Linked DNA regions of Macaca fascicularis. The protein of the gene in region 1 interacts with the protein of each later gene in a biochemical or structural test. Links are inferred from orthologs where the notes say so. Each region holds a gene or a part of one and is shown in the gene's direction. Other genes may lie near its edges. The genes, in order: LRRK1, BAG1, CIMIP4, CKAP2, SCEL, BAG5 and NEK1.

Region 1 (3,906 bases):
GGAAATCCCTTCTCACAAGTCCAACTCAGCACCCTCTGCAGAGGAGGTCCCAGAACACCATAGACACCCCTCAATGCAACGGTCCCTCGGGGTTTACAGAGAATGAGGAGCACAGGTGCTGCCTGGGCTGACATTCCTATAGCAGTCTGTTTTGCATTACTATAAAGGAATGACTGAGACTGAGTAATTTATGAAGAAAAGAGGTTTATTTGGCTCACAGTTCCACAGACTATACAAGCATGGCTTCAGCATCTGCTTGGCTTTTGGTTAGGCCTCAGGAAGTTTTTAGTCATGGCAGAAGAGAAGGAGAGCCAGCATGTTACATGGTGAGAGAGGGAGCAGGAGAGAGAGGAGGAAGAGCCAGGCTCCTTTTCACAATCAGCTCCTCTGTGAACTGACATAGGGTGAATGCATTCATTACTGCAGGAGGGCACCAAGCCATTCATGAGGGATCTACCTCCATGACCCAACCTACCATCAGGCCTCACCTCCAACACTGGGGATCACATTTCAACATAAGATTTGGAGGAGAAAAACATCCAAACCATCTCAAGGCTGCAGATTGGTGGCTGAGCAAGGGCTGTGGCATCCGGGGTCAGCACAGCTGGGAGCTCTGTCCTGTCCCTTGTTCAGTGAACAGAGACGATACTCAGCCGTGGGGTTCTCTGTTGCAGGCCAAGGCCCCAAATGCCGTGGTGCTGGTGGTCGGGACACACCTGGATTTAATTGAAGCCAAGTTCCGTGTGGAAAGGATTGCAACGCTGCGTGCCTATGTGCTGGCGCTCTGCCGCTCCCCCTCCGGCTCCAGGGCCACAGGCTTCCCAGACATCACCTTCAAACACTTACAGTGAGTGCCCAGCCTCTAGCAGCTCCCGCCTTCATGTGGGTGCCAGTCGCTGATCCTTCCTGGGATCTGCTTACAGAGAGCTCCTGAGGCTGGGTGGGGCTAGGCCCCTTCCCTGGCCAAGGGGGGGCAGTCCACAGAGCTGACCCAGCCTTGGAGAGGGTGAAGACCTACCAGACAGCTGGCTGGGTGAGGCCTGGAGATGCCCCCTCTTTGCTTCCTTTCTGCCCTGTCCCCGCCCCAAGGGCCAGTGCTGAAACTGCATGGTGCCCATTGAACCAGGTGACTGAACATGGGCACCACCCATCCAATTGCTGCCCATCTCATTTTTTGATCACTGATCAAGGACAGACCCTGGGGAGGGAGGACCTAGCCCTTGCCTTTGGTCTGAGTGGTCCTGATAGCAGCCTTTGAGTTAAAAAAGGCCAAGAGTTGGGAGGGGCTTTCGGGTGGGCATCACGACGTGTCCATGCAGATAAGTTCAATTGCCCTGGGCTGACCTCCTGTCACTGGTTGTGGGGATTGTTTGCCACCTTGTAGATGAAGAAGCTGAGGTTCAGCAAATTGTGTGCCCTAATGGGAGTAAAATATACTGCACATTGCATTAGCTGCCCTGGCAGCTCTCAGATTCCCTCGCCCGGGGTGGAGCGTCATGGGTATTGGTGCGTGGGTCAGCCTGGGACACATTGGCCTGGCTCGGAATACGGGATGAGGCTGTCAGGAATTATTGCTTTGACCTTGAGAAAGTCCCATAGGGTCTGTGATAAGAGGAGCCCTGGCTCTGGGTCAGAACCTGAGACCAGCCTGCGTGAGCCTGTGCCTGCCCAGCTTGTGCCCTTGGGGGTCTCAATGTACCTCTGCACCTCACTTTCCTTCTCTGTGAAGTGCCATGTTTGGTCTAGGAAGACAGACTAAAGCGACAGTGTGGGGCACCCAGCACAGTGATTTGCACAAAGCAAGGCCTCAGTAAACTTCTTGTGTTGTCTTTCATGAGTTCTCCAGACTTGCCAGCATTCAGGACAAACCTCTTGGGAAAACAGAGAAGCTGCAGCACTTCCTCGGAGTGGGGCACGATGAGTAAAGACGGGTCTTTTTGCACACAGTGAGATTTCCTGCAAGAGCCTGGAAGGCCAGGAAGGGCTGCGGCAGCTGATCTTCCACGTCACGTGCAGCATGAAGGACGTGGGCAGCACCATCGGCTGCCAGCGACTGGCAGGGAGGCTGGTGGGTACCTCGCTCGTCCAGCTTAAACCAGTAGGCCTGCTTCCCATTGTTGGGGATCCTCACTTCCCCTCTCTCCTGTGAAGCCCATGTCCATGTGGCAAGGCTCAGTCGTTCTTGGTGAGGGAGGGTCAGGATGGAAGATAGTGGGTGGAAATGTCCCACCCACTCAGGCCACAGGGGCCAGGCAGGATCTGCCCCAGCTGGCGGGCATGCCTCGGGAATTGCCTCGTCCGTCTGTCCCCCAGATCCCCAGGAGCTACCTGAGTCTGCAGGAGGCCGTGCTGGCAGAGCAGCAGCGCCGCAGCCTGGACGACGACGTGCAGTACCTGACGGACAGGCAGCTGGAGCAGCTGGTGGAGCAGACGCCCGACAATGACATCAAAGACTACGAGGACCTGCAGTCGGGTGGGTGGGGCTGGGGTGGGCGGCAGGGTGCCCGTGAGAAATGGAACTGTCTGTACTTCAGCCTGGCCCTCAGCAATGAATGAGAGACCGATAATCAGCCTGTGTTTCTGTCTTCCATCCCCCTCCCCTTCCTTCTTCCCTCTCACCCTTCTTTCCTTGGAGGTAGAGAACACAAACAGCTACTCTACACCAGCATTGTGTTGGCCACAAGGGCAGACATATAAACTGATGGACTGGTCCATGCCCTCCAGGGCTGACGTTCAGTCAGGGAGACAGAGGTCAAACAGTTACAATCGATTCTCATTAGCCACAGGACTTATGTTCTGTAAAGTCACCATGATCACTGAAATAGCAAATACTAAACCAGTGCTCCTAGGAGAGACGCAGGGTTCAGCTCCTGCAAGCCTCTGGTCAGAACATTCTCATCAGCCCATCAATACAGAACCTTGTTTTATGTGTGTTGCTGCTTAAAGACACTGTACTTAATATATAGTGTTGATTTGTTGGCATTGAACTCATGGTTAACAGTACTGTTGCTCATTCCTGAACAAAACTTATCTAACACACAGGTTTTCTCCATAAGGCACATCGCAGCCTTCTCACGCTTAGGGAACTACACAGCGCTTCAGCACTTCACTTGGGACCATTTTAAACAGTGAAAGCATCAACAAAAAGCACAAAAATTCAAAAAACATGGCACTGACATAGACCACTAAGCAGGCCCCTGTTTTCAGCACGAGAGTTGAGAGTGTTGCCCTGTTCAGCCTCCGCTGGGAATGTGCACATTGGTCAATGCAAACTTTTCACCACTCAGCACATGTCTGCAAATAACCACAGGAGCATTGATTTGGGGGTCGCAGATAAATTTTAGTAAGAAGGCAAATTTGCAAAGGCGGAATCCACAAATAATGAGGATCAACTGTAGTTACCGAGGTGGCCATTAGCCTAGGACTTTGGCAAGAGTTACCAGGGGCCACCAGGGCACCTGTGATCAGGCTGCCAACCCACCTGAAGGGTCCAGCATGTGGGGCATGTTGGTTTCTTCCTAGGAAGAATTTGTGACCTGGGTCCCCTTGGAAAGTAAGGCCACCCCAGAGTCCCTTTCGCTCCTTTGTCTAACTGCTGCTTCCTCCTCTCCTTGCCTGGGGCAGCCATCAGCTTCCTCATAGAAACTGGCACCCTGCTACACTTCCCAGACACCAGCCACGGCCTGAGGAACCTCTACTTCCTCGACCCTATTTGGCTGTCCGAATGTCTGCAGAGGATCTTTAACATTAAGGGCTCCCGGTCAGTGGCCAAGAATGGGGTGATCAGAGCAGAAGACCTCAGGATGCTACTGGTGGGGACTGGCTTCACACAGCAGACGGAAGAGCAGTACTTCCAGTTCCTGGCCAAGTTTGAGATCGCCCTGCCCGTCGCCAATGACAGGTGAG
Region 2 (3,906 bases), on another chromosome or scaffold:
TCAGAGCTTCCTGGATATAACTTGTGGTTACGGGGACAGGCTCTGCAGTCAGACTCCCTGGGTTCAGATCCTGGATTCACCCTTTCTCTTACTGAGAACAAGTTTATCTTTGCCTCAAGTTCCTCATCTGCAAAAAGGGAATAATGGTGACATTTCCCTCTTAGGATTGTTGGGAGCATTAAATAATGTAGATTGAGCTTGACACATACTAAGTGCTTTATAAGCATTTATTGTCATAGTTATTGTCAAATCCCAGCCAGCATCCATTTATGCTCACAGGAGAGCACCTGCCATGCTCAGATCATGAATTGTCTGAAATAGAACAAGTAGCTTCTCTCTCTCTGGGCTGTTGTAATGTGTTTGGCAAGGCAAATGACATTTTGTTGGTTCATAGAAGGTCCAAGTTAAACATGATAGTGGGGTTGGAGGGGGTCATCCTATTCAATTCCTTATATTAGAGATGGGGTACTGAAACCCAGTAAGGATTAGGACTAGCTCAAGACCACTTATTTATTTTTCCTTCTCATTGTGTAACATTAATTGGGGTGTGTTTTGGCTTTTTTTTTTGAGATGGAGTCTCACTCTGTCACCCAGGCTGGAGTGCAGTGGTGCAATCTCAGCGGCTCCCTGCAGCCTCTGCCTCCCAGGTTCAAGCGATTCTCCTGCCTCAGCCTCCCGAGTAACTGGGATTACAGGCGCCGCCTGCCACCACATCTGTCTGATTTTTTTGTATTTTTAGTAGAGATGGGGTTTTACCATGTTGGCCAGACTGTTCTCAAACTCCTGACCTCAAGTTATCTGCCCGCCTTGGCCTCCCAAAGTGCTGGGATTATAGGTGTGAGCCACCGTGCCCGGCCTGTATGTTTGTGTTTGCCCGGCCTATATGTTTGTGTTTTAATTACAGAATACATGCTGACTGTACAAAAGTTTTAAGTGCATGTATAGGCACTAATATGGAAAATAAAAATTATCCATGAGGCCCCAACTCAGAGATAACCATTATCGAAGCCTGAAATATATTTTTCATCTTAAAAAAAATTGATATAATGTTATATACACTTTATAAACTATTTTTTTGGATAAAAAATTAAACATTTTCCTATGATGGTATTTTTCAAAGCTTGCATGCATTTCATCTTGTATAAATGTATCATTTACCTAGCCAATTCTGTATTGTTCATTTAATACTATTTTTACCATTATGTGTAATGCTTCTTTGACTATCCTTGGACATAAATCTTTTTTGACCATTCCTGGTTTTTTTAGTAGAATAAATTCTTTGAGTTGGAATTGTTGGTTGATGTTTAAAGCTCTTGCTACATGTTGTGAAATCTGTATTTGTAGCTCTTGGCTGTGATAAACATCCTCAGAGATCCCTGCTATCCAACTCTTGTCACCAGCTAACTGGTCATTAGGCCAAGCTATGTGAGTGAACCATTAGACAATTTGATAAAAATAAGCACTGCTGCCATTCGTTAGCATGTGTCTGTGCCACAGGTTAGTGACACATGTACATATATTCCCTTTACCTCACAGTAACCCTCTAGGGTGTGAGTATCATAATCTTCATTTTTAAAATGAGGGTACTGAGACATGAATAGGCTAAGTAATTTGCTCAAGATCACAAGTTAGTAAATGGCAGTCAGTTTTCAAGCCTAGGCTTTGAAGACTCTAAGCCTGTGCTTTTAACATCTGCTTCTTGTGTACAGGATACATTTGTGATTGGGGGCTTCACTGGCACCAAGCCTCAGGAGGCATTCGCAGCCACAGTGGGTCATGCGAGGTAGAGCAGACTGCAACCTGATAGAATTCTTGGACTGGCCCACGGCCAGTCTTTTAAATTTTTCCAAGAGATGAAGTTGTGGATCTGAAATGTGGCCTGGCCTGCCAGGGCTATGTTGGACTCAGTGTGATCGCTTCAGTAGTATTGTGGCATGGAGTTTTCCATCAGCCTCAAAGAACCCTTGCAGTAATGCATTATTTCCCACAGGGTTTTCTGCCCAAGGATTTACAAGCTGAAGCTCTCTGCAAACTTGATAGGAGAGTAAAAGCCACAATAGAGCAGTTTATGAAGATCTTGGAGGAGATTGACACACTGGTAAGTAAATATTCAGCTGAGAAGAACTAGTTTTGTCTTTATTTCAGTCACATTCACTCTTCCAGTAATGTACTCTCCTATTGTCTGAGCAAACCCATCACTTAAGAATATTAAGCATCTGCTTTTGTGTGCCAATCACGTTGCTTGGTCCTGGGTGAATGCACAATGATAAGACAGTTCCTGCTTTCTAGGCACTCACAGCCCTCCAGTATAGGACTTTTATCATTTATACTTATGTTTGCCAGTAGCATCTGTAATCATCATGAAGCTGGGACCCAAGGAGTCCACGATCTCATGGTCAAGGAAACAGGTTTTCACTTTCTCTGATACTCATGTGACTGATAATTCTGCAGGCCTCATTACTTATAGAGGATTCAGCCAGACCCAGATCTTGTGAGGCTGCTGAAAATCGTTAACTCAGGGGTTCTCTTTTGCAGATGATAGTAATGATATCTCTAGCCTGATGCTTCATTCTTGAAGGTGAACTGCACTGTGTGTTTCTGTTGGCCAGGGAGGGTGTAAAGAAGCAGCAGCGCCGGGCGCAGTGGCTCACGCCTGTAATCTCAGCACTTTGGGAGGCCGAGGCGGGTGGATCACAAGGTCAGGAGATCGAGACCATCCTGGCTAACACGGTGAAACCCTGTCTCTACTAAAAACATAAAAAATTAGCCGGGCGTGGTGGCAGGCGTCTGTAGTCCCAGCTACTCGGGAGGCTGAGGCAGGAGAATGGCGTGAACCCAGGAGGCGGAGCTTGCAGTGAGCCAAGATTGCACCACTGCACTCCAGCCTGGACGACAGAGCAAGACTATGTCTCAAAAAAAAAAAAAATAGCAGCAGCAGGCACTTTTCCTGTCACAATGAGCCCATGGTCTGGCCAGGGCAGAGTATCCATACATACGAAACAATAAAAAAACGAAGTCTGTGTTACAGATCAGTTCCTACGGGCCAGACGTTGAGAATACAGGGAGCTTTTATAGGGACAAGAGCCATGGGAAGGCAATATAGGATACAGACTCAGGGAAAGGGTTCCTGAAAATGGACATCTCGTTTACATTGGTGACCCGTGACCTGTTTTATATACTGTGGGTGTTTCTTATGTGTTCTCATGTCATTTTCACTGAGGATTATTTGTTACATGTTTACTATTTACTAACTTGTATTATCAACTTACTCTTCCATAGATCCTGCCAGAAAATTTCAAAGACAGTAGATTGAAAAGGAAAGGCTTGGTAAAAAAGGTTCAGGTGAGTTGTGTAATAGTGCACCACGAGGCGTAATATGTTAGTGTGTAGGTATGCATGTTTATCTCTTCAGAGTCGGTAGTATAGCAGCATGGTGTGTGGTATGGGCCTGTTTTGGTTATTACTTATTTATCAACAGGAACCCTGAACGTCAGAGAAGAGCCCCGTATGTCCCTGTAATTATATATGAATTTAAACTGTTTAGGGAGGGAACTCACTGGAGAGCAGATAGGGCTGACACGTTACACAATTCCTGGAAGCAGTATTCATGCATACATTGCTTCCTGCGATTGTTCAGGTGCTGTGCAGTGGCCTTGTGGCAAAGCTCCCTGCCTTTACCACCTTTTAGGGGATTGCTGGCCTGGAGCATGGTCAGAATGCTGGTCCTATGCTCCCTCCCTCCCCTTACCTTGGAACCCAGGCCAGTTGCCCATCTCCATTCATGCATAGTCTGTTTTGAGTCTCAGCCATGGGTTCCCCAGAATGGCTAAGCAAGTGGGCAGTGGTTGGCTATCCCTGGATGGGCCCTTACTGCCCTGTGTGTATTTTCTAGGCATTCCTAGCTGA
Region 3 (3,906 bases), on another chromosome or scaffold:
CACAATCTTGACATGTTCTGCCCCACTTGGAGGAACTTGTCCCAATTTGAGGTTGACTCTATGGCCACTACCTCTCACCACCCTGCCCAGCCTTGGGACATGTCCTTTTTTTCTTCAGCCACCATTGTCCCTGGCTGGAATCAAGAAATCTGTGTTTTCTGCCCACCTGTAACTTATGTCACAAGTGTCATTGAGCCAGCAAGTGTCAGAGCTGGAAGCCACTTCAAAGAGCATCCAGTTCCACCCTGCCTTCACATTTTACATGTAGGGAAACTGAGGCCTAGAGCGGAGAAGAGGCTTGCCGAAGTCAGCAGCTGATATATTGCAGAATTGGAACTCAAACCCAGGTGTTCTGCCCCTGGGCCTGGGCTCAGCTTCTCTGCGTGTCAGTTTCCCTGTTGGTATGAAGAGGGAGTTGGCCTTGTTGAAAGCTAAGCACCCACCCAGAGCTGCCCTGCGTGATGCCTCAGTTGTAGGAGGCAAGCCAGGGCTCTGTGGCCTGCCAGCCATGTGAATTGGGTGATCTCGGGCCTCCAGAGGCCCGCTTTCCTCATTTATAAAATGGTGGGAAGAGTGGCACCCTATAGAGACCCCCCACCCCAGTGTTGCATGTAGCAGGTGCTTAATGCTTGGAAGAGGTTTTATGATCATTAACCTGATGCCCCCCACCCATGGCAGTGCAGCTGAGAGGGGTTGGGGCTGGGGCCTTTGTATACTCCAGCTCCCCAGCCCTGTGAACAGGTTGAGGGCTGCAGGCTGAAGGTGGGATCATGGTGGGGAGGGCAGGGTCAAGGGAGGAAGGGTTGGAGGGAGATATGGGGCTTGACACTGCTTTCCCATCCCCGGTCTGTTGTCCCTGCCTCTCTGCTCAGGCTCAAAGGGCTATTGATGAAGCCTTCGAGGGCCAGAAGAAGGCAAGCTCATGGCCCAGCAGGACCCCGAATCCTGTGGAAATCTCCTCCGTCTTCTCAGACTACTATGATCTCGGCTACAACATGCGGTCAAACTTGTTTCAAGGTCAAGTCAAAGGGGAAAAGGGTGGGACCGGGAACACCCATGGTCTCTCAGGCATGGGGCAGGGAAGGCCTTTACCCCAGGGCACATCTCCAAGGACACTTATTTCATGCCCATGTGTCCTCTATGTCAGCTTGCGAGTGCTGGGAGCATCCAGACCCCTGTCCTGGATGTGTGGATGATTCATCCCAGTTGGCAGTCAGCCCCTCACGCTCCCAGACACCTGTGGCCCCTTCCCTTCCTTTCCCTTCCCTTCCCTTCTCTTCCTTTCCTTTCCCTTCCTTTCCCTTCCTTTCCTTTCCTTTCCCATCCTTTCCCTTCCTTTCCCTCCCCTGCCCTCCCCTCCCCGCCTTCCCTTGTCTTCCCTTCCCCTCCCCTCCGCTCCCCTCCCCTCCCCTCCCTTCCCCTCCCCTCCCCTCCCCTCCCCTCCCTTCCCTTCTTGTGTTTTTTGAAGTCTCATCCTGTTGCCCAGGCTGGAGAGCAGTGGCACAGTCTTGGCTCGCTGAAATCTCCACCTCACACGCTCAAGCAAGCAATCCTCCCACCTCAGCCACAACCCTGCCCTGACAAGTAGCTGGGAGCACAGATGCATGCCACCATGCCTGGCTAATTTTTTTTTGTTTTGTTTTTTGTATTTTTGATAGAGACAAAGTTTCATCATGTTGCCCAGGCTGGTCTCAAACTCCTGGGCTCAAGTGATCCACCCACCTCGGCCTCCCAAAGTGCTGGGATTACAGGCGTGAGCCACTGTACCCTGCCCACCTCTGGTTCTTAATTTGCCAGTAGGAGGCCCAGGACTCAGTAGAAGACCCAGGACTGCTGCTCCCCACCCCCAGCCCCATCCCAGGAACCTTTGATCACAGTGACAATATCAAGTTTTTTTGGTTCAAAACTCAGCTCACTAGCTGGGTGTGACCTTAGGTGGGATCCTCAACCTCTCCAAACCTCCACTGCCTTCTCAGTACAGTGGAGATGATAATGAGAGTATGGCCCTCGCTGGGTCATTGGCAGGACTTTATGAAGTGCCACACGAAGGTGCTTGGCCAAGGCAAGTCGTGAGCACTCAGTAGCTGTCAGGCTATCATTTTTCTTCTCCAGAGCCTGGAGGTGGCGCTACCTGGGAAGACAGGAAGGGTGGGTTGGAGGATCTGACATTTACAGAGGGTTTCCATTGGGTCATTGTAGTTCTGTTTGGTTGGGATGAGGAGAGTGCTGTTAGCTCCATTTCACGGGCAGATTTCAGATCATTTGCGCTAGAACTTTTAGTAGTCTGCATTGTGTCTGGGACTCAAAGTCAGGTGTTCCTTTTGCCTCCACAGCCTCATAGTCTTTTCTTGACCACTAAGTCTCTTCCCTAGCTTTGATCCTGTTCCCAGGGTCTTCTAGATGGCTCAGATGCCCGTCACAGCACACAGGACTTCTCTCTGCCCCACATTCTGATTTGGCCTCATTGCAAAATGAGACTCTTTCTGGTGCGGCTCCTTCCTCTCTCCTCACTCCAGGCCCTCTCCAGTGTTCCCAGAGGCCTGACAAACCTCTTCCACCTGGCTCGGATCCCTGTCACCCGAGGAACCAGACACCCACTGGAAGCCTTTCTGGATTTTTCTTTGAGCTTGGAGAAGGGATGGTGCTGGGGGAGGAAAGCAAGAATACAGTTCTTTTTTTTTTTTTTTTTTTTTTTTTTGAGACGGAGTCTTGCTGTGTCACCCAGGCTGGAGTGCAATGGCCAGATCTCGGCTCACTGCAAGCTCCGCCTCCCGGGTTCACGCCATTCTCCTGCCTCAGCCTCCCGAGTAGCTGGGACTACAGGCACCTGCCACCTCGCCCGGCTAGGTTTTTTTTGTATTTTTTATTAGAGACGGGGTTTCACCGTGTTAGCCAGGATGGTCTCGATCTCCTGACCTCGTGATCCGCCCGTCTCGGCCTCCCAAAGTGCTGGGATTACAGGCTTGAGCCACCGCGCCCGGCCAAGAATACAGTTCTGCTTGCTCTCTGTTCTGGGCCTTCCAGATCCTGCCTTCCAGTTCTCTCTTTAACAAGTATCGGTCACCAAATAGCTATTCCATACAACTTTGTATGATAATGTCTACTTAAATGTAAAAGAATCTGTTTTTTAAAATGTCCATGTCCCATCATCCCACCTGGGAAGTAGAACTGTGCCAAGGATGTGCTGGAGCTCCTAGCAGCTTGAGCCAGCTCACAGGAGGCAATTGTTTCGCTGCACTGATTGGCACATAAATGCTGTCTTAAAATTGGCTATGCTAGTAGTATTTACACTCTGGAAATTGGCAAACACTACGAATCAGGGCTTCACCCTGCAGCACAGTACTGTCAGTGTGCCCATCCATCTGTCCCTCTCTGTCTCCACCCACCCGGGGTTAGCCTTTGCGCTTGCTGTTTGAGGTTGGTGAGACTGGTATGGCTGCACAAGAGTGAGGCAGAAGACATCAGAGGAAACACACTGGGTCGTGAAGCCTGCTGGAAGGTCTTTACTCGGAGTGAGATGAGAAACCAAGCCAGGGTTTTAAGCAGGAGAATGGTCCTGTTTGGCTCAGGTTAAAGGCTCACTCCAGTTGCTATGGGGAGAATGGACATAGGGAGCTGGGGCAGAAACAGGGAAACCGGTAGGAGGCAGCTGCAAAACTCCAGATGGGACAGATGATGGTGGCTTGGTCCTGGAAGCTGGGCTAGTGCACTGCACGATTCTGGAAGGCACCATTGTGCAATATAGCAGCTCAGGGAGGTAATGGTGAAGGTGGCCTGATGTAGTAGGATTCTGGATATTTGTATAAGGCAGAGAGAAGAGAATATGCTAATGAATAGATTTTGGGGTGAGATACAGGAATTAAGGTTGATTTCAACGTTTTTGACCTGAACGACTGGAAGGATGAG
Region 4 (3,906 bases), on another chromosome or scaffold:
CAATATATATGAGAATAAAATCAAGACCAAATAAATGTTCATTTTTTACTAATAAATGTCTCAACTAATATTTCATTTTTTTTGTTTTATGCTTATGGCTATCTTTATCATTGATCTTGACTATAGTAGGCTCAATTATTGTTCATAGTTTGTAAGCTAAAAAATATTACACACATTATTTCTTGCTCTTTTAGGGATGTCCAAAAGAAGACATACTGGTCACACTGAATGACCTGATTAAAAATATTCCAGATGCCAAAAAGCTTGTTAAGTATTGGATATGTCTTGCACTTATTGAACCACTCACAAGTCCTATTGAAAATATTATTGCAATCTATGAGAAAGCCATTCTGGCAGGGGCTCAGGTAAGATAAACATTTGCTGATCTTTACGATTACAGTGTAGCAGACAATTTGGAATTAATTTGAAACACATCACAACATAGCTTGAGAAAATTGTGGTTGTATATGTAGTAGTTGTAAATGTTTAAAGGCCACAAAGATTGCTGTTTGTTGGCCTTCTAAGTCTTTTATTACTGTACTGGGAATAATCAGACTTTAGAAAGTGGGTATAAGCTGAAATGTATATTTAGTGAAACTTTCTGCATGAAATGTCTTAGCATATTATTGTATGCATTTCCTGGTTGAAAATTTATGGGGAGACTGAATGTAATATTAAAATTTGTTTATTGAATATAAAGCAAAAGGGATGAAATTAGCTTTTTAAATGTTATCAAGCTCTTTTGGTTTTGTGAGAGAACTCTTTCACTTTAAGAGTAAACCCAGGCTGGGCGCGGTGGCTCAAGCCTGTAATCCCAGCACTTTGGGAGGCCGAGATGGGCGGATCACGAGGTCAGGAGATCGAGACCATCCTGGCTTACACAGTGAAACCCCGTCTCTACAAAAATAGAAAAAACTAGCTAGACGAGGTGGCGGGCGCCTGTAGTCCCAGCTACTAGGGACGCTGAGGCAAGAGAATGGCGTAAACCTGGGAGGCGGAGCTTGCAGTGAGCCGAGATCGCGCCACTGCGCTCCAGCCTGGGCGACAGAGCAAGACTCTGTCTCAAAAAAAGAAAAAAAAGAAAGAAAAAAAAAGTAAACCCAAATGTACTGCTATATCTACACTGTATAGATTGATCCTGTCTGCATACAGAAAATGGCAATAAACCAGTTTCTCGAACATTATTACCTCTATAATGGTTTGATACCATACTCCTTACCTCTTCCAGCCTATTGATACACAAAGTTTTGGGTGTAGAATAAATCATTTCTTGAGTTTGTGTGGTTGGGTTTTTTTTTTTTTTCGTGGATACATGTTCTTAAAATATGTTTCGTTTTAATCCAGGTTTCTCAGAAACACATTCTTAGAGATTGTTTACATAGATAATTTTTTTAAACTCCTTTTTTTTTTTTTTTTTTTTTGAGACGGAGTCTCGCTCTGTTGCCCAGGCTGGAGTGCAGTGGCCGGATCTCAGCTCACTGCAAGCTCCGCCTCCCGGGTTTACGCCATCCTCCTGCCTCAGCCTCCCGAGTAGCTGGGACTACAGGCGCCCGCCACCTCGCCCGGCTAGTTTTTTGTATTTTTTTAGTAGAGACGGGGTTTCACCGTGTTAGCCAGGATGGTCTCGATCTCCTGACCTCATGATCCGCCCGTCTCGGCCTCCCAAAGTGCTGGGATTACAGGCTTGAGCCACCGCGCCCGGCTTAAACTCCTTTTTTTAAGAAAGATGTATTCACCGTTGTCTCAACAAAATCAACAAATGCTATTTGACTTTTCACTTAAGTAAAAAATCAGATATTCAGCAGATAGTCTCTCAGTGGCTATCATGTGTAAAACTCTTTTCAGAATGGTAATTATATTTGATAGATGCTACCTGGAAAGGAGTGTTAGGCCCCTACTATGTTGTATCAGAAGGGACATTACTTAAGGCAACTAAGGACATTGTAGCAAGGATGCAAAGTTGGAGCCAAGGCTCACATACAAAGCAATAATGTAAACGGAAAGATACAATACCAGAGGAGAAGCTGCTGGAAAACAAGAATCAAAATTAGCCAAGATGGCTGGGCACAGTAGTAGATACCTATAGTCCCAACTACTTGGGAGGCCAAGGTGAGAGGATTGCATAAGCCCAGGAGTTTAGGCAACACAGACCCTATCTCTTAAAATTAGTGGCCAGGTATGATGGTTCACGGCTGTAATGCCAGCACGTTGGGAGGCCGAGGTGGGAGGATCGTTTGAGTCCAAGAGTTCAAGACCAGCCTGGGCAAGATGGTGAGACCCCATCTCTGCAAAAAAAAAATTTAAAGTTTTTTTGGTGGTAGACAGTTGTGGTCACAGCTATGCAGGAAGCTGAAGTGGAAGAATTGCTTGAGCTGTAGAGTTCAAGACCAGTGAGCCATGATTGTGCCACTGCACTCCATCCTGAGTCGACAGAGCAACACCCTGTCTCAAAAAAAAAAAAAAGCCGAGAAAACTGAAAGCAGGATAGCTGAGTAATTCAGGACTAAGTTCTGGAAATAAGAATGTGAATTACACCTTCCCTAATCTTCATTGTGTTGGATGGAACATAGTAAATGCTTATAATATCTGATAAATAATGGGCTCTTAATAAATTCGTGAATGAATATGTTAAGATGATCAACCTTAAGCTCTTCAGAGATACATTTCATAGCATATGAAACAAAAATATAACCATAGACTTAAATGTAAGAGAAAAGGAGCACGGCTTAAGTAAAATTATGGGGGAAGTTGTTAAATGTGAAAATCTACGCTGGGCGTGGTGGCTCACACCTGTAATCCCAGCGCTTTGGGAGGCCAAGGCGGGCGAATCATGAGGTCAGGAGTTCAAGGCCAGCATGGCCAGCATGGTGAAACCCTGTCTCTACTAAAAATACAAAAAATTAGCTGGGCATGGTGGTATGCGCCTGTAGTCCCAGCTACTGGAGAGGCTGAGGCAGGAGAATCACTTGAACCTGGGAGGCGGAAGTTGCAGTGAGCCGAGATTGCCCCGCTGCATTCCAGCCTGGCGATAGACGGAGACTGTCTCAAAAAAAAAAGAATTCTATCCTTCATTTTTAATCTATAAATTGGAAAAGACAGCCATTTTTCTTTTATTTTTCTTTTTTCTTTCTTTTTTTTTTTTTTTTTTTTGAAATGGAGTCTCGCTGTGTCGCCCAGGCTGGAGTGCAGTGGCGCAATCTTGGCTCACTGCACATCCGCCTCCCGGGTTCACGCCATTCTCCTGCCTCAACCTCTCGAGTAGCTGGGACTACAGGTGCCCGCCACCACGCCTGGCTTATTTTTTTATATTTTTAGTAGAGACAGGGTTTCACCGTGTTAGCCAGGATGGTCTCAATCTCTCGACCTCATGATCCGCCTGCGGCCTTCCAAAGTGCTGGGATTACATACATGAGCCACCGCGCCCAGCCAAGACAGCCGTTTTTCAATCTTAATTATTAAGTGGTCTGAGAAGCATGGTTTAAGAGCCACTCCCTTACTTTAAAATACGGTATGAAGTTTTAATCACAACTTGGATACCTAGTTAATGTCAGAGAAAATAAAACTTACATGGATCTGCTTTATTCATTTAAAAAATTAAGCCTATTGAAGAGATGCGACACACGATTGTAGATATTCTAACAATGAAGAGTCAAGAAAAAGCTAATTTAGGTAAGTTTTAGTTCTTTTGTTTCCTTCAAGTGAATTGTAGTTTTGTTGTTGTTGTTTTTTAACTTTTAAGATCAGGAATACATGTGCAGGATGTGCAGGTTTGTTATAAAGGTAAATGTGTGTCATGGGGGGTTGTTTTACAGCTTATTTCCTCACCGAGGTATTAAGCCTCGTGTCCATTATTTTTCCTGATCCTCTCCCTTCTCCACCCTCCCATGTGCACCAGTGTGTGTGTTC
Region 5 (4,547 bases), on another chromosome or scaffold:
TGCTAAGCTTCCTCAAAGCCTCTTTGGCACTTACGGAAGTTGCATTTCAAAACCTGTAACAGGAGTCCCCACCTAGGATGGCTCTTCAGTGCTACTCCTTCCTCCCAGTAGAAGCAACCTTTGTTTTTGTTTGTTTGTTTTGTTTTTTGTTTATTGAGATAGGGTCTCACTCTGTCACCCAGACTGGAATGCGGTGGTGTGATCACAGCTCACTGTGGCTTGGTCCTTCCATGCTCAAGAGACTCTCCTGCCTCAGCCTCCTGAGTAACTGGGAACAAATACATGCACTATCACACCCAGCTGATATTTTATTTTCAGTAGAGATGAGATCTCTCTCACTGTGTTGCCCGGTTTGTCTCAAACTTCTTGGCTCAAGTGATCTTCCCACCTTGGCCTCCCAAAGTGCAAATGAAAGCCACTGCAACTGGCCAGAAGCAGCCTTTGACATTGGGTCTACTGCTGCCCTCAGTTATGAGAGAAGTTTCAACCATCCTTTTCACATTTTTTTTTTTTTTTTTTTCTGCGAGAGTCTCACTCTGTTGTCTAGGCTAGAGTGCAGTGACATAATCTTGGCTCACTGTAACCTCCACCTCCCTGGTTCAAGTGATTCTCCTGCCTCCTCCTGCCAGAGTGGATGAATGGTTCTTCTTGACCATCTAATCACTGTCTACTAAGACTTTAAAACTCTGCATCAACATCACCTTCCAGGTTCTTCCTTCTCTCCCCTATGCGATGCCTGGCATTGAAAATTTCTGTCTATGACTTTATCATGGTATGTTACTGTTATTAAATATAGCTGGGGTTACAGGTGTGCGCCATCACACCCAGCTAATTTCTGTATTTTTAGTAGAGACAGGATTTTACCATGTTGGCCAGGCTGATCTTGAACTCCTGATCTCAGGTGATCCGCCTGCCTCCACCTCCCAAAGTTCAGGTATGAGCCACCACGCCTGGCCCTTTTTCACATTTTTTTATACATGGATAAATAAGATAGAGATTAGAATTCTTATGTGCTAGGTGTATTTTCCCTTTGATAGTTTTACAAAATATTCTAGGTGTAGAATGTTTGGAACAGACTTCTTTCGTGTTTTCTGATCCTAGGGTTCCTGGGTTTTTGAGAACTTGTTTGTCTTGAAGTTTCCTTTAAGCCATGTACTCCTTGCATGCTTGTCTGTGCCCCTGCCTTCCAGGTACTGTGGGCATATGGGGGTTCCTTCTATTGAGTTTTCAGTTTTATTTTTTGAAAGAGAATGCAAAATAGATTGGGTCCTATGCCACCTTGTCAGTGATATGGTTGTGCATATTGTTGATATCAGTTAAAGGGCAATCACAGGAGCGTATCTATATATATATATATTTGCATAACAAGGCCGTAAGTTAAAGAATTCACCAAACAAAGGCCGTAGGTTCACGAGTGAGACTGTTTTAATTGAACTGGTATTTGTACAAGGTGACACCCTGTTGCATACCACAGACCTCCTCCCTGAGTGACTCAGCCGCTGAGAAAGAAACCTCTGAACTGTTCATTAATACAGTCAGGTAGAGGTTGAGACTCCACTGAATAAACTCTAGGTTCCCATTTCTTTCAGTCAGATCCTCCCAGGGAATCACTACAGGCCGGTTAGCCAAAAAGTCCTGGTTTTCTGCTCAATAGAGGTAAGTTGAATTATACTTGCAAACAGAAATACATCTGCTGTATGTGCACAGCTTTCTCTGTGTTCCTTTCAAATGATTAAAATTAGAACTTACAGTATTATCTTTGTCTTTTCTTCCTATAAATTTTGACAGCCTCCAGCTGACTGTTAGCTCTGCTCTTCCTTGCTGTACTTTTAGGCCACATTGCATTGAACTTCTTGGCAACTTTACACATTACGGGCATCACAGAAATGAGCACCTATTTGATTTTCTGGGTGGGAGCTGTCAGCTGGTGAATCCTGCCACACAAAGGATAATAAATTATTTAAGCGAAGGGACCAGCACCTGCTGGTTTATTTTCTCAAGTGACTATACAAACATTTTTTAAAGGAACTTTCTGTTTTCATAAATGATGCTTTTAGTGAAATAGTGAACTCAAATATTGCTTTATAGTTAATAAGTCATATTTTTTCTCTACTGCTAAAAATATTGCAAGTTGTTGAGCTATGAGAGAGAGAGGTTTATTTTTATGAGGTTTTTGTCTCCACCCTATCTTCCCCAAATAAGAAAATTGCCATTTCTTACTTGAAAGTACCAAGGAGTAAAGGCAGGGTGTGGGGGCAGAATAGGGGTATATATGATCTGTGGGCATCTGGCCAACTTCTCTACAGTATATTCTGCATTCTAACCTAAGGAGTGATTAATATATATGGGGGCAATTTTCAAACTTTATTCATAGCCTAGTCCTGAAAAACCAGTTTTGGGAGACTTTTGGTAAGGATAGAAGAGTTCTTTTGTAATTAATAGTTAAGCTGACTTGTCTGGTTTGTGTTTTTTTTTTTTTTTTAATCATTTCTATTTATGATACAGAGCTGTGGAATTCAAATGCAGGGGCCACTCACAGCTTGCAAATTGCAGGTCTGTGTCCTCCAGAGAGGCGCCCCCACAGCATACTTGGCTCTATCTTTAGTACTTGAGTTCTCATGGCTTCCTATTGCTGACCAGGTCACCTGCAGTCTGAGAGGGGTTTAGGCACACCAGTGCTCAGTGCTCATTTCCCAGAGGTTTACCGAAGAATTTTATAACTTGGCTTTCAAGTGTTTATAGTAACCAGAAAACTAAAGCATAGCATGTGTGGGTAATTTTATTTTTCATAAAATGTGATTACATTTAAAACTGTCTTTCACTTCCACAGTTTATAACGTAGATATAGCCTTCCTAATATTTGCGGTGCTCCAGTGTTTAAAGTATCAGAAACATCAATTTGAGAAAACTGAGAAATGACAACAGTAAAAATTTTAGTAAAACATTCAGATGATCCTAAATGTTGGGATATGCAGAGAATGCCAACAACAGGTCAGAATTTTTATTGGAATGTTAGCTTCGTGTAAATCTTAGATCTAATTGACTGAATATTTCAACTGAAATGGAGCATAGGCCCATCTAGTCTAATGCCTGAATTTTCTAGATGAGAAAAACAAAGCATAAATGTTAAGTAACTTGTGAAGATCAGAGTAGCAGAACCAGAACATGAAGCCAAATTGCTTGTCTTTTGTCTTACTGAATTTTCTCAATATTTTTTTCAAATACTTTTTATTATAAAATATGTAGTAGCAATAAACGAACCACACTCCATCACAGACTGTGGTTATCCAGCAATATGTGGAAATATTATACTGTGTATGGTGTGACTAAGACATAATGGAAGACATAGACATATGTTTCCAACTTGTGGCTTGTGGAATCAGTGTTGCCATTTATTATATTTATGAGATTTTCATCTCAGGATCCAGTAGCCCCTCAGCAGGGAGGGGATCTGATGTATGTGTGTTAGCTGTGGTCTGTACAATCAGAACACCCTCGCCCCGAATGCCATTCTGTAGGTGATGCTTACCTGACTGCCTTCTCAGACTACCAGAATTATGATGAAATACCTGAGAGGTTCATATTCCTGGGGACTATGTAAACAAAACAAAGAATATGTTTTGAATGACTGAGCTCATACTGTGGAATGAACTAAGCAGTCAACTTAAGCAAACATTGTTTAACTGAGAGCATCCTATATGGTTCAGGCATCAACTCCCACCATTTCTTAAGAGTGAGGGGATCAAATCTTTGGCCCTGCAGTCCAAGGGAAATCTTTATTGGTTTCACTTGGCTTCACTTTCTGTCATTATCCTGCTTCTAGACCATTTGTTGATCATTTTCCATTTGCTCTGGCTAGGGACTTTGAAATAAAGATTTTTATATATTAATTGCTGCATACATAGCTGGAGTTGTTCCAAGTTCACTTCTGAATCAAAAGTCATTTTTGTTGTTGCTTTTTTTTTTTTTTGAGATGGAGTCTCGCTCTTTTTGCCAGCCTGGAGTGCAATGGCACGATCTTGGCTCACTGCAGCCTCCGCCTCCCATGTTCAAGTGATTCTCCTGCCTTAGCTTCTCGAGTAGCTGGGACTACACGTGTGCACCTGACTAATTTTTGTATTTTTAGTAGAGACGGGGTTTCACCATATTGGCCAGGCTGGTCTCGAACTCCTGACCTCAGGTGATATACACGCCTCGGCCTCCCAAAGTGCTGGGATTACAGGCATAACCAATGCACCTGGCCTTAATCAAAAGTCTTTATCAGTTATATTCCTTAAGTGTTTCCAGCTTACCACTGTACAAATGGTAAACTGTGATTTTTCCACGAACTTGTGATTTTGGGGCTTGGGAGAAGCTCTTCCTTACATGGATGCTTTGCCAAATGACAGCTACATTTACTAGACTTTCATTTCATGTTGATTACTAAATTTTTTAAGGATATGAGTCATCTTTTTATTGTAATACTTAACTGGAAGAGTGAATTTTATAGCTATCTATTAAATGACAACTGGTTTGCTTCTAGATACAAGAACTGATCGTCCTGAATC
Region 6 (4,572 bases), about 86 Mb from region 1:
AAGTCTCCCTCTGTCGCCAGGCTGGAGTGCAGCGGTGCGATCTCCACTCACTGCAACCTCCGCCTCCCGGGTTCAAGCGATTTTCCTGCCTCATCCTCCCGAGTAGCTAGCTGGGTCTATAGAGGCGCGTGCCACTACGCCCAGCTAATTTCTGTATTTTTAGCAGAGACGGGGTTTCACCATGTTGGGCAGGATGGTCTCACCTCTTGATTTCGTGATCTGCTCGCCTCGGCCTCCCAAAGTGCTAGGATTACAAGTGTGAGCCAGGGAGCCCGAACAATTTTTAATTAGCTCTTTTTTACACTTCTTTAATTATTGTTTAAACCAAGTTTTCCAGCCTCCTTCATTAGCCTGTTTGGTATTTGCATGCTTTGCTTGAATATTTTATCTCCAGCCCATTCCACACCGTTAGCCAACATTTTCATCTGACAGATGGAATCAAGGCCTAGGCCTCCTTTAAACAAAACATCCCTCCCAAAAGTATGACTTAGAAAAATTGCTTGCCACTCTTTCTTGCTACAGACATTCTTTGCGGATCTTTGGCCAGTAACATGCATATACCCACACATAGTTTGCAAATAAGAACAACTATTGAACGTGAAGTGCTACAAAAGTACGATGATAAAGTATAAAGTGTTCACCGCTTGAATAAAAGCTCTAATAATTTTAACAAAGCCAAAACACACACACACACACACACACACACACACACACACACACACACACAGACCACGAAAAAAAAATGCACGCTAAGCCAAGAGCTCTTTAAATATAAAAAATAATCATTCTCGGGAACAAATAAGACTCTTATGCTTAAAGGTTCTGGCTGTCAACAGTCTCCGGCGTGGCGGCGGCACCCTCAGTCCCATCCGACCGAGAGCCCTGACGCGGAAGCCTTGGGGCTGCGGGACTGTTCGGGATCGGACGCGAGCGCACCTGCAGAAAGGCCTGAGGCGGCTGTGCATGGCAGGCAGCTGCCCCGAGGCCCCGGTTTGTCTTTCCTTCCGGTCACCCCTCCCGGCCCAATATCCCCAGGCGCTTGCTTACGCCGCTGGGCGCCGTATCCCTGCGCTCGGCGCCGCGCTCCGGAGCGAGTTGACAGCCGCGGCAGACGAAGGAGCGGCTGAGAGCGCGGAGAAGACTCTTCTTCCCCGCCCGCAAGGCCACCATGGCCCCACGCCCCCTGGCTCCCGCGGCGCACGGCAGCATTGCGACGGCGCGAGAGGCCGCTTTACGGCAGGGTCGCGAAGCCCGAGGGAGGGCGGCGGTGCGGCCGACCGTGCGCTTTCCCCGCGGTACGACGGCCTACGGGAGCGGCGGGCGGCGCGGGCTGACCCGGGCGGCCGCTCCTTGGTCGCTGTCACTCCAAGTTGCCTTGCTGCGCCGCTGGCGGTGGGCTTGGCGCTGTCGGCGGCTAGGCGCGGACGCCGGAGGAGGTGTCCCCGGGTTTAGGGGTGTTCGGCCAGGGGCGTGGGCTGGCTGGCCCGGGCGACGGCCGGAGCTGCGGAAGTCGTGGAAGCGTCGGCGACGCATCGCGCGATGGCGCGGGCGGGACAGGTGAGCGAAGCGCGGCGTGTGGCCTTTTCCCTCCGTCGGGGGGACGAGTGGGGCCCCCCGTCCGCGCGGGGCTCCCCGCTGGACCACCTTTCTGCCAGCGCCCACCCCAGCGCGGCCTGTCGGCACAGGCCGAGCAGAGTTGGTCTCGGCGCCGTCCCCGTCCCTGGCTCGGACGCTGTCCAGGGGTGGTCGGGCCTGGTCTCTGGTGTCTCCGGCGGGGCCTTGGCTCCCCTCCTTCCCCGGCTTCCCCCGGCCGGGCCGAGGGCCCCTCGCGCGCCCATTGTGAGGTCAGGGCCTGCGGGCGCGCCCTGGCACCTAGGCCGAGACGCCCGGAGCGGCTGCTGCAGCCAGTAGCAGCCCCTTCACCGCCGGCCCCTTCACCGGCTGCCCCGCTCAGACCTAGTCGGGAGGGGCGCGAGGGATGCAGCTGGGGGCCCAGCTCCGGTGCCGCACCCCGTAAAGGGCTGATCTTCCACCTCGCCACCTCAGCCACGGGACGCCAAGATCGCAGCCAGCTCAGACCTCTTCTGGGTAAAGAGCCAAGAGGGAAGGGCGAGGCGGGGAGGAAGGAACTCGGGCCGCCTGCCCTCCGTGGCCTCCAGAACATCCACAGGGGATGGATGATGCGTTTCCATTGGTTACCCACCTTGAGCGAGCCGTTTGATAGAAACCAAGAGCTTGAAACGTGCATTAGGCGATTGTGGACTCTCAGTGGGAGGCGAGTGAATGAATTATTCAGTTACCACATTTTCGCAGGTTGTAGTTTTTTGAGACAGTGGAGCATGTTGGGGGCTGAGGAGGTGCTGGGCCTCGAAAGCCCAAGGTGGTGCCCTTCAGCGCAATCCCCGTCCCTCTTCTTTACCTGTGGGGTTTTTATCTCTTCGGGGAGACATCTGGGAGGGAAGATGTGTGAGGAGCTAAAAGGGTGGGGAGGGGAAGTGCACAAAGGGAAGAAGCGGGAACTTGGGGATATCTGAGAGCCACTGGTTTTTGTTCTACTGGTTCAGTTTATTTTGCTTAGAGTTTCTGGAAACTAGGCATAGCTGTGTGGCGGGGCGGGGTACTGTTAGTGTTCGGAAGGTTACAAGAGCTACTGTTTCACCTTGCATAAAGGTGCCCTGCCGGTTCCAAATAGTTTGTGCGGCGTACGGTGACTCACACCTTAATCCCAGCACTTTGAGAGGCGGGGGCGGGCGGATCGTCTGAGACTAGCCTGGGCAATATAGTGAGACTTGTCTCTACTAAAAATAATAACATTAGCTGGGCGTGGTGGTGTACGCCTGTAGTCCCAGCTACTGGGGAGGCTGAGGTGGGATGACTGCTCGAAAGTATGCCTTTTTAAAATGAGAATTTTAGAATGACTTAGTATACCATTAGTGTTCTGCAGAAGCCTTGTGCTGTAATAAGTTATTCTTGTCATCTTTTAGTGCTTGTGAAACTGAACACAACAAAAGTATGGATATGGGAAACCAACATCCTTCTATTAGTAGGCTTCAGGAAATCCAAAAGGAAGTAAAAAGTGTAGAACAGCAAGTTGTCGGCTTCAGTGGTCTGTCAGATGACAAGAATTACAAGAAACTGGAGAGGATTCTAACAAAACAACTTTTTGAAATAGACTCTGTAGATACTGAAGGAAAAGGAGATATTCAGCAAGCTAGGAAGAGGGCAGCACAGGAGACAGAACGTCTTCTCAAAGAGTTGGAGCAGAATGCAAACCACCCACACCGGATTGAAATACAGAACATTTTTGAGGAAGCCCAGTCCCTCGTTAGAGAGAAAATTGTGCCATTTTATAATGGAGGCAACTGCGTAACTGACGAGTTTGAAGAAGGCATCCAGGATATCATTCTGAGGCTGACACATGTTAAAACTGGAGGAAAAATCTCCTTGCGGAAAGCAAGGTATCACACTTTAACCAAAATCTGTGCGGTGCAAGAGATTATCGAAGACTGCATGAAAAAGCAGCCTTCCCTGCCGCTTTCCGAGGATGCACATCCTTCCGTGGCCAAAATCAACTTTGTGATGTGTGAGGTGAACAAGGCCCGAGGGGTCCTGATTGCACTTCTGATGGGCGTGAACAACAGTGAGACCTGCAGGCACTTATCCTGTGTGCTCTCAGGGCTGATCGCTGACCTAGATGCTCTAGATGTGTGCGGCCGGACAGAAATCAGAAATTATCGGAGGGAGGTAGTAGAAGATATCAACAAATTATTGAAGTATCTGGATTTGGAAGAGGAAGCAGACACGACTAAAGCATTTGACCTGAGACAGAATCATTCCATTTTAAAAATAGAAAAGGTCCTCACGAGAATGAGAGAAATAAAAAATGAACTTCTCCAAGCACAAAACCCTCCTGAATTGTACCTGAGCTCCAAAACAGAATTGCAGGGTTTAATTGGACAGTTGGATGAGGTAAGTCTTGAAAAAAACCCCTGCATCCGGGAAGCCAGGAGAAGAGCAGTGATCGAGGTGCAAACTCTGATCACGTATATTGACTTGAAGGAGGCCCTTGAGAAAAGAAAGCTGTTTGCTTGTGAGGAGCACCCATCCCATAAAGCCGTCTGGAACGTCCTTGGAAACTTGTCCGAGATCCAAGGAGAAGTTCTTTCATTTGATGGAAATCGAACCGATAAGAACTACATCCGGCTGGAAGAGCTGCTCACCAAGCAGCTGCTAGCCCTGGATGCTGTTGATCCGCAGGGAGAAGAGAAGTGTAAGGCTGCCAGGAAACAGGCTGTGAAGCTTGCCCAGAATATTCTCAGCTATCTCGACCTGAAATCCGATGAATGGGAGTACTAAAATACCAGAGGTCTCACTTTTGATATTGTTTTGCACTTCATATGTGCTTCTATGTATAGAGAGCTTTCAGTTCATTGATTTATACGTGCATATTTCAGTCTCAGTATTTATGATTGAAGCAAATTCTATTCAGTATCTGCTGCTTGTGATGTTGCAAGACAAATATCATTACAGCACATTAACTTTTCCATTCGGATCATTCTCTCTATGATGTGG
Region 7 (3,906 bases), on another chromosome or scaffold:
AATGGTACATAGCAGGTGTGCATGCTCTGTTGATTTTTTTTTTTATAATAAAATTTTTTTGGGAGATAGGGTCTTACTCTGTTGCCCTGGCTGTAGTACAGTGCTACAATCATAGCTCACAGCAGCCTTGGCCTCCTGGGCTCAAGCAGTCCTCCTGCCTCAGACTCCCTAGTAGCTAGGAATATAGGCTCATGCCACCACGCCTAGCCAAGTTTTTTGCAATATTTTTCTAGAGAGGTCTCGCTATGTTGCCCAGGCTGGTTTCAAACTCCTGGCCTCAAGCAGTCCTCTTGCCTCAGCCTCCCAAAGGGCTAGGATTACAGGCGTGAGCCACTGCACCCAGCCTAAATTAGTCTTGTAATTGTATGTTAAGTTAAATGCTACTAGTGGGATGAGTCAAGAGATTAGACACTATTTTCTCATTCTAATTAGATGCCTAGATTTTCTATAGCTCCTACAAGTCAAATTATAGGAGTTTGTATATATAAGTACAAAATGAAGATATTTCTACATAAAAAGATTATTTACTCTTTCTCTTAATGGAAATTATATTGACAGTCTTGCACAATAGTGTTTATATTTTAGTTCTTCAGTACATATTTGATTTGAGTCTAAACTCTTAGAAAAGCCTTAATTAGCCCTTGTGTTCTATTAAGCATTGCCTTCCTGATAGATGAAATCCTCGGCTTAGGTTCACAATCTCTTTCAGAAGTCTTCAGACATCTAAAACATCAATTAACTCCTTTAGTCTACAAACTTTTCCATTTACATTCCATGTTAGAAGAAAGAAGCAAATCACAAAAGGCAAAAAAAATTTCTGAGTATGTTCCTTGGATATTACAGAAGTGGTCAAAGGCCTAGATTTCAGTGCTCTGTCATTTACTGACTATGTGGCCTTGACCAAGTCATTTAAACACTTTGGTTCATAGTTTTCATGTCTCTAAAGTGATTTTTTATGGATAAAATTTGAGTAATAGGATAAAACTGTTTAAAAAACGAAAGTTCTATATAAATGTAAGGTATTATTTATGTGACTTATTTCATTCCAGCATCTATAATCCCATGAAAACAGAATTAATATTCTGACCAATACTTTAGAAACAAGATTCTCCAGTGAAGAATTATGATGGTTGGTATAGGGTAGTTACACAGAAAATCTATTTATTATGTATTTTAGAACATTTTTAAGAATAAGCATCTAAAGATAAGATTTCTGGTGACCATTTTATTCACTGGGTCATCCTGTTAACATGAATATATAATTTCCTAAGTATTTCTGTTTCTAAAAGTTCAAATGCCCAATGGGCATTTATATGGAAAGCCTTTTGTATAGTGTCTAGCTATTAGCCACATGGATATTTTGAAAATTACAGAATTCCATAAAAGAGAAAATAATTTACTATTATTTGTTTTAGAAAAACTTCTATAGTCTGGCCTCTTAAAATATCAAAACATTGTTTCAGAATTTAAGCAATGAGTAACATTAATAGTTATGTGATTCTCTTTGGCAAGTTGGGATCATTTAAACAAATCATCTTCTGGCTTATGTATTCCAGAATATGTGTTGTGTTCATCGTCAACTTACTGGTGAAAAACAATGTAGGTTTTTTCCAGATTTTTTGTTATCTATTAGGATTTTTAAAGTAGAAGTGCCTACATATTGAGTAAAAGTAACATTTCAGCATGAGGTAGTTTTAGTTGTTTAACTTCGTAAATTTCAGTATGTTTGAAACTTTCAGTTAAACCTTTTAAATTTCAGTGTGTTTGAAGAAACTGACACAGATTTACAAGAGCTGCAGGCCTCAATGGAACAGTTACTTAGGGAACAACCTAGTGAAGAATACAGTGAAGAAGAAGAGTCAGTCTTAAAGAACAGCGATGTGGAGCCAACTGCAAATGGGACAGATGTGGCGGATGAAGATGACAATCCCAGCAGTGAAAGTGCCCTGAACGAAGAATGGCACTCAGGTGCATAATCAGAGTTTTGGACCTTTTTCTTTTTCAGTTTACAGATATTTCAAGTGGAATATAGTTTTCTAATCTCTGCTGTGGACCATTTCCAACTTTAAATACAACTGAAGCATGCCTCTGGGTCTCTCCCATTTTTCACTCTTTTTCTTTTCATACAAATATGTGATTTTCCTTTTTTTTTTTTGAGACTGAGTCTCGCTGTGTCTCCCAGGCTGGAGTGCAGTGGTGTGATCTCGGCTCACTGCAAGCTCCGCCTCCCGGGTTCACGCCATTCTCCCGCCTCAGCCTCCCAAGTAGCTGAGACTACAGGCGCCCGCCACCACGCCCGGCTAGTTTTTTGTATTTTTAGTAGAGACGGGGTTTCACCATGTTAGCCAGGATAGTCTCGATCTCCTGACCTCGTGATCCACCCGCCTCGGCCTCCCAAAGTGCTGGGATTATAGGCTTGAGCCACCGCGCCCGGCCAATTTTCCATTTTTTTATTAAATTTTTTTTCTTTACTATTATGTCAATGCTTTTTTGAAGCATTTTTATTCTAATCTCCATTTCTTGACTGATTTTTCCAGTAATAAAGATAATAACATTGTTTTCTTGTCATTCTATATTTTAGAAAGAGCTTCTGCATATATTAATCAGCAGGGTTAACACTGAAAGCAGTTTTTAAAGTACTAAAAACTCGTTTCATAAATTTGGAAATTTGCTCTTTCATAACATTACCCCTAAGATGCATAGAAAGTGTGTCTATTTCAGTAACTATATTATGTTAATTTAGGAAGAAAAGCTAATGTGAAAAGACTAAGTAATGTTTTTTTTCAAAGTATCTTGAGCATGTACATGACAAAACATGTTGGCCATTTATACTTTCCAGGTGCTTTCCTGAAATGTAATGATGTATGTCTTAGGTTGTCTACCTTCTGCAGGCTTTTCCATGGTATGGCCCACATTTATTACCAACTTTTGTAGTTAGGGTTAGCTGCTTCAAAGCAAAATATGGAGGTGTGCTTTTTCCACTTTTTTATTCATTTAAGTAACATCTCTAGGAGTGTTTTGATTCCATCCTGACTTATTTTTTATATCTATAAAGGAAAAGTAACATTCTTGTTTAGACAGATTTATACATAATTTTTACCAAATAAAGGACAAATATTAAAATGACAAAAACCGTTTATAATGAAAGTAGAAGTAGTCTACTTCAATGGCATTATTCATTTGTCATAGAATTTTAGTCTATTAGGGTAAGAGTTATCTTATTCAGTCTTTTTAAATCAAAATATCTATTTTAATTTTATTTTTTAGATAACAGTGATGGGGAAAATGCTAGTGAATGTGAATACGATAGTGTCTTTAACCATTTAGAGGAACTGAGACTTCATCTGGAGCAGGAAATGGGCTTTGAAAAATTCTTTGAGGTTTACGAGAAAATAAAGGTAAGTGAAAAGTCAATTAAAACACTTAAAATGTGCTCTGTTTGAAGGTTAGAGAAATGTTAATGATCTTTATTGGTCATTAGATTTATTATAAATAAAAAGGGAAGTCTACAATTAGAGAAAGTTATTCAAATACTAATTTATATTTGGGAATTTGGTATAGGCTATTCATGAAGATGAAGATGAAAATATTGAAATTTGTTCAAAAATAGTTCAAAATATTTTGGGAAATGAACATCAGCATCTTTATGCCAAGATTCTTCATTTAGTCATGGCAGATGGAGCCTACCAAGAAGGTAAGATTTCCTCACATGTCTGTATAATTTTCAATAAATGTGAGAAAAACAAGATGATACATGTAGATGACTCAGCTTACATCACATCCGTTTTGTGAAATCTACATGGGAACTATATTACTTTTAAGCAATAATAATATTAACTTTGTCATATACTTTTACTGATCTGTGATATACTTTTACTGACTGAAGTCCTTTAAGTCCATATTTTT

The links.
Region 2: the proteins of LRRK1 (region 1) and BAG1 form a complex in vitro, tested with the Homo sapiens proteins (2 studies listed by BioGRID and IntAct, with this or other methods). The link is inferred for Macaca fascicularis from reciprocal best matches to the Homo sapiens genes LRRK1 and BAG1.
Region 3: the proteins of LRRK1 (region 1) and CIMIP4 form a complex in vitro, tested with the Homo sapiens proteins (2 studies listed by BioGRID and IntAct, with this or other methods). The link is inferred for Macaca fascicularis from reciprocal best matches to the Homo sapiens genes LRRK1 and CIMIP4.
Region 4: the proteins of LRRK1 (region 1) and CKAP2 form a complex in vitro, tested with the Homo sapiens proteins (2 studies listed by BioGRID and IntAct, with this or other methods). The link is inferred for Macaca fascicularis from reciprocal best matches to the Homo sapiens genes LRRK1 and CKAP2.
Region 5: the proteins of LRRK1 (region 1) and SCEL form a complex in vitro, tested with the Homo sapiens proteins (2 studies listed by BioGRID and IntAct, with this or other methods). The link is inferred for Macaca fascicularis from reciprocal best matches to the Homo sapiens genes LRRK1 and SCEL.
Region 6: the proteins of LRRK1 (region 1) and BAG5 form a complex in vitro, tested with the Homo sapiens proteins (2 studies listed by BioGRID and IntAct, with this or other methods). The link is inferred for Macaca fascicularis from reciprocal best matches to the Homo sapiens genes LRRK1 and BAG5.
Region 7: the proteins of LRRK1 (region 1) and NEK1 form a complex in vitro, tested with the Homo sapiens proteins (2 studies listed by BioGRID and IntAct, with this or other methods). The link is inferred for Macaca fascicularis from reciprocal best matches to the Homo sapiens genes LRRK1 and NEK1.

What each region holds. Positions count from the first base shown.
Region 1 is NC_088381.1:86,091,856-86,095,761, forward strand, and holds part of LRRK1 (leucine-rich repeat serine/threonine-protein kinase 1), read left to right. Parts: intron 1-674; coding exon 675-847; intron 848-1,947; coding exon 1,948-2,068; intron 2,069-2,313; coding exon 2,314-2,473; intron 2,474-3,624; coding exon 3,625-3,901; intron 3,902-3,906.
Region 2 is NC_088389.1:65,829,214-65,833,119, forward strand, and holds part of BAG1 (BAG family molecular chaperone regulator 1), read left to right. Parts: intron 1-1,990; coding exon 1,991-2,098; intron 2,099-2,609; coding exon of another isoform or gene 2,610-2,698; intron 2,699-3,279; coding exon 3,280-3,342; intron 3,343-3,892; coding exon 3,893-3,906. UniProt on the Homo sapiens protein: Co-chaperone for HSP70 and HSC70 chaperone proteins. Acts as a nucleotide-exchange factor (NEF) promoting the release of ADP from the HSP70 and HSC70 proteins thereby triggering client/substrate protein release.
Region 3 is NC_088384.1:14,674,520-14,678,425, forward strand, and holds part of CIMIP4 (ciliary microtubule inner protein 4), read left to right. Parts: intron 1-872; coding exon 873-1,017; intron 1,018-3,906.
Region 4 is NC_088391.1:31,638,416-31,642,321, forward strand, and holds part of CKAP2 (cytoskeleton-associated protein 2), read left to right. Parts: intron 1-194; coding exon 195-365; coding exon of another isoform or gene 366-374; intron 375-3,599; coding exon 3,600-3,669; intron 3,670-3,906. UniProt on the Homo sapiens protein: Possesses microtubule stabilizing properties. Involved in regulating aneuploidy, cell cycling, and cell death in a p53/TP53-dependent manner.
Region 5 is NC_088391.1:68,554,568-68,559,114, forward strand, and holds the start of SCEL (sciellin), read left to right. Parts: upstream 1-1,537; 5' UTR 1,538-1,656; intron 1,657-4,547. UniProt on the Homo sapiens protein: May function in the assembly or regulation of proteins in the cornified envelope. The LIM domain may be involved in homotypic or heterotypic associations and may function to localize sciellin to the cornified envelope.
Region 6 is NC_088381.1:171,733,202-171,737,773, reverse strand, and holds the start of BAG5 (BAG family molecular chaperone regulator 5), read left to right. Parts: upstream 1-1,520; 5' UTR 1,521-2,177; coding exon 2,178-2,275; intron 2,276-2,984; coding exon 2,985-4,356; 3' UTR 4,357-4,572. Other genes in the region: COA8 (cytochrome c oxidase assembly factor 8), read right to left, coding at 1,048-1,170. UniProt on the Homo sapiens protein: Co-chaperone for HSP/HSP70 proteins. It functions as a nucleotide-exchange factor promoting the release of ADP from HSP70, thereby activating HSP70-mediated protein refolding.
Region 7 is NC_088379.1:174,218,277-174,222,182, reverse strand, and holds part of NEK1 (serine/threonine-protein kinase Nek1), read left to right. Parts: intron 1-1,759; coding exon 1,760-1,968; intron 1,969-3,267; coding exon 3,268-3,398; intron 3,399-3,561; coding exon 3,562-3,694; intron 3,695-3,906. UniProt on the Homo sapiens protein: Phosphorylates serines and threonines, but also appears to possess tyrosine kinase activity. Involved in DNA damage checkpoint control and for proper DNA damage repair.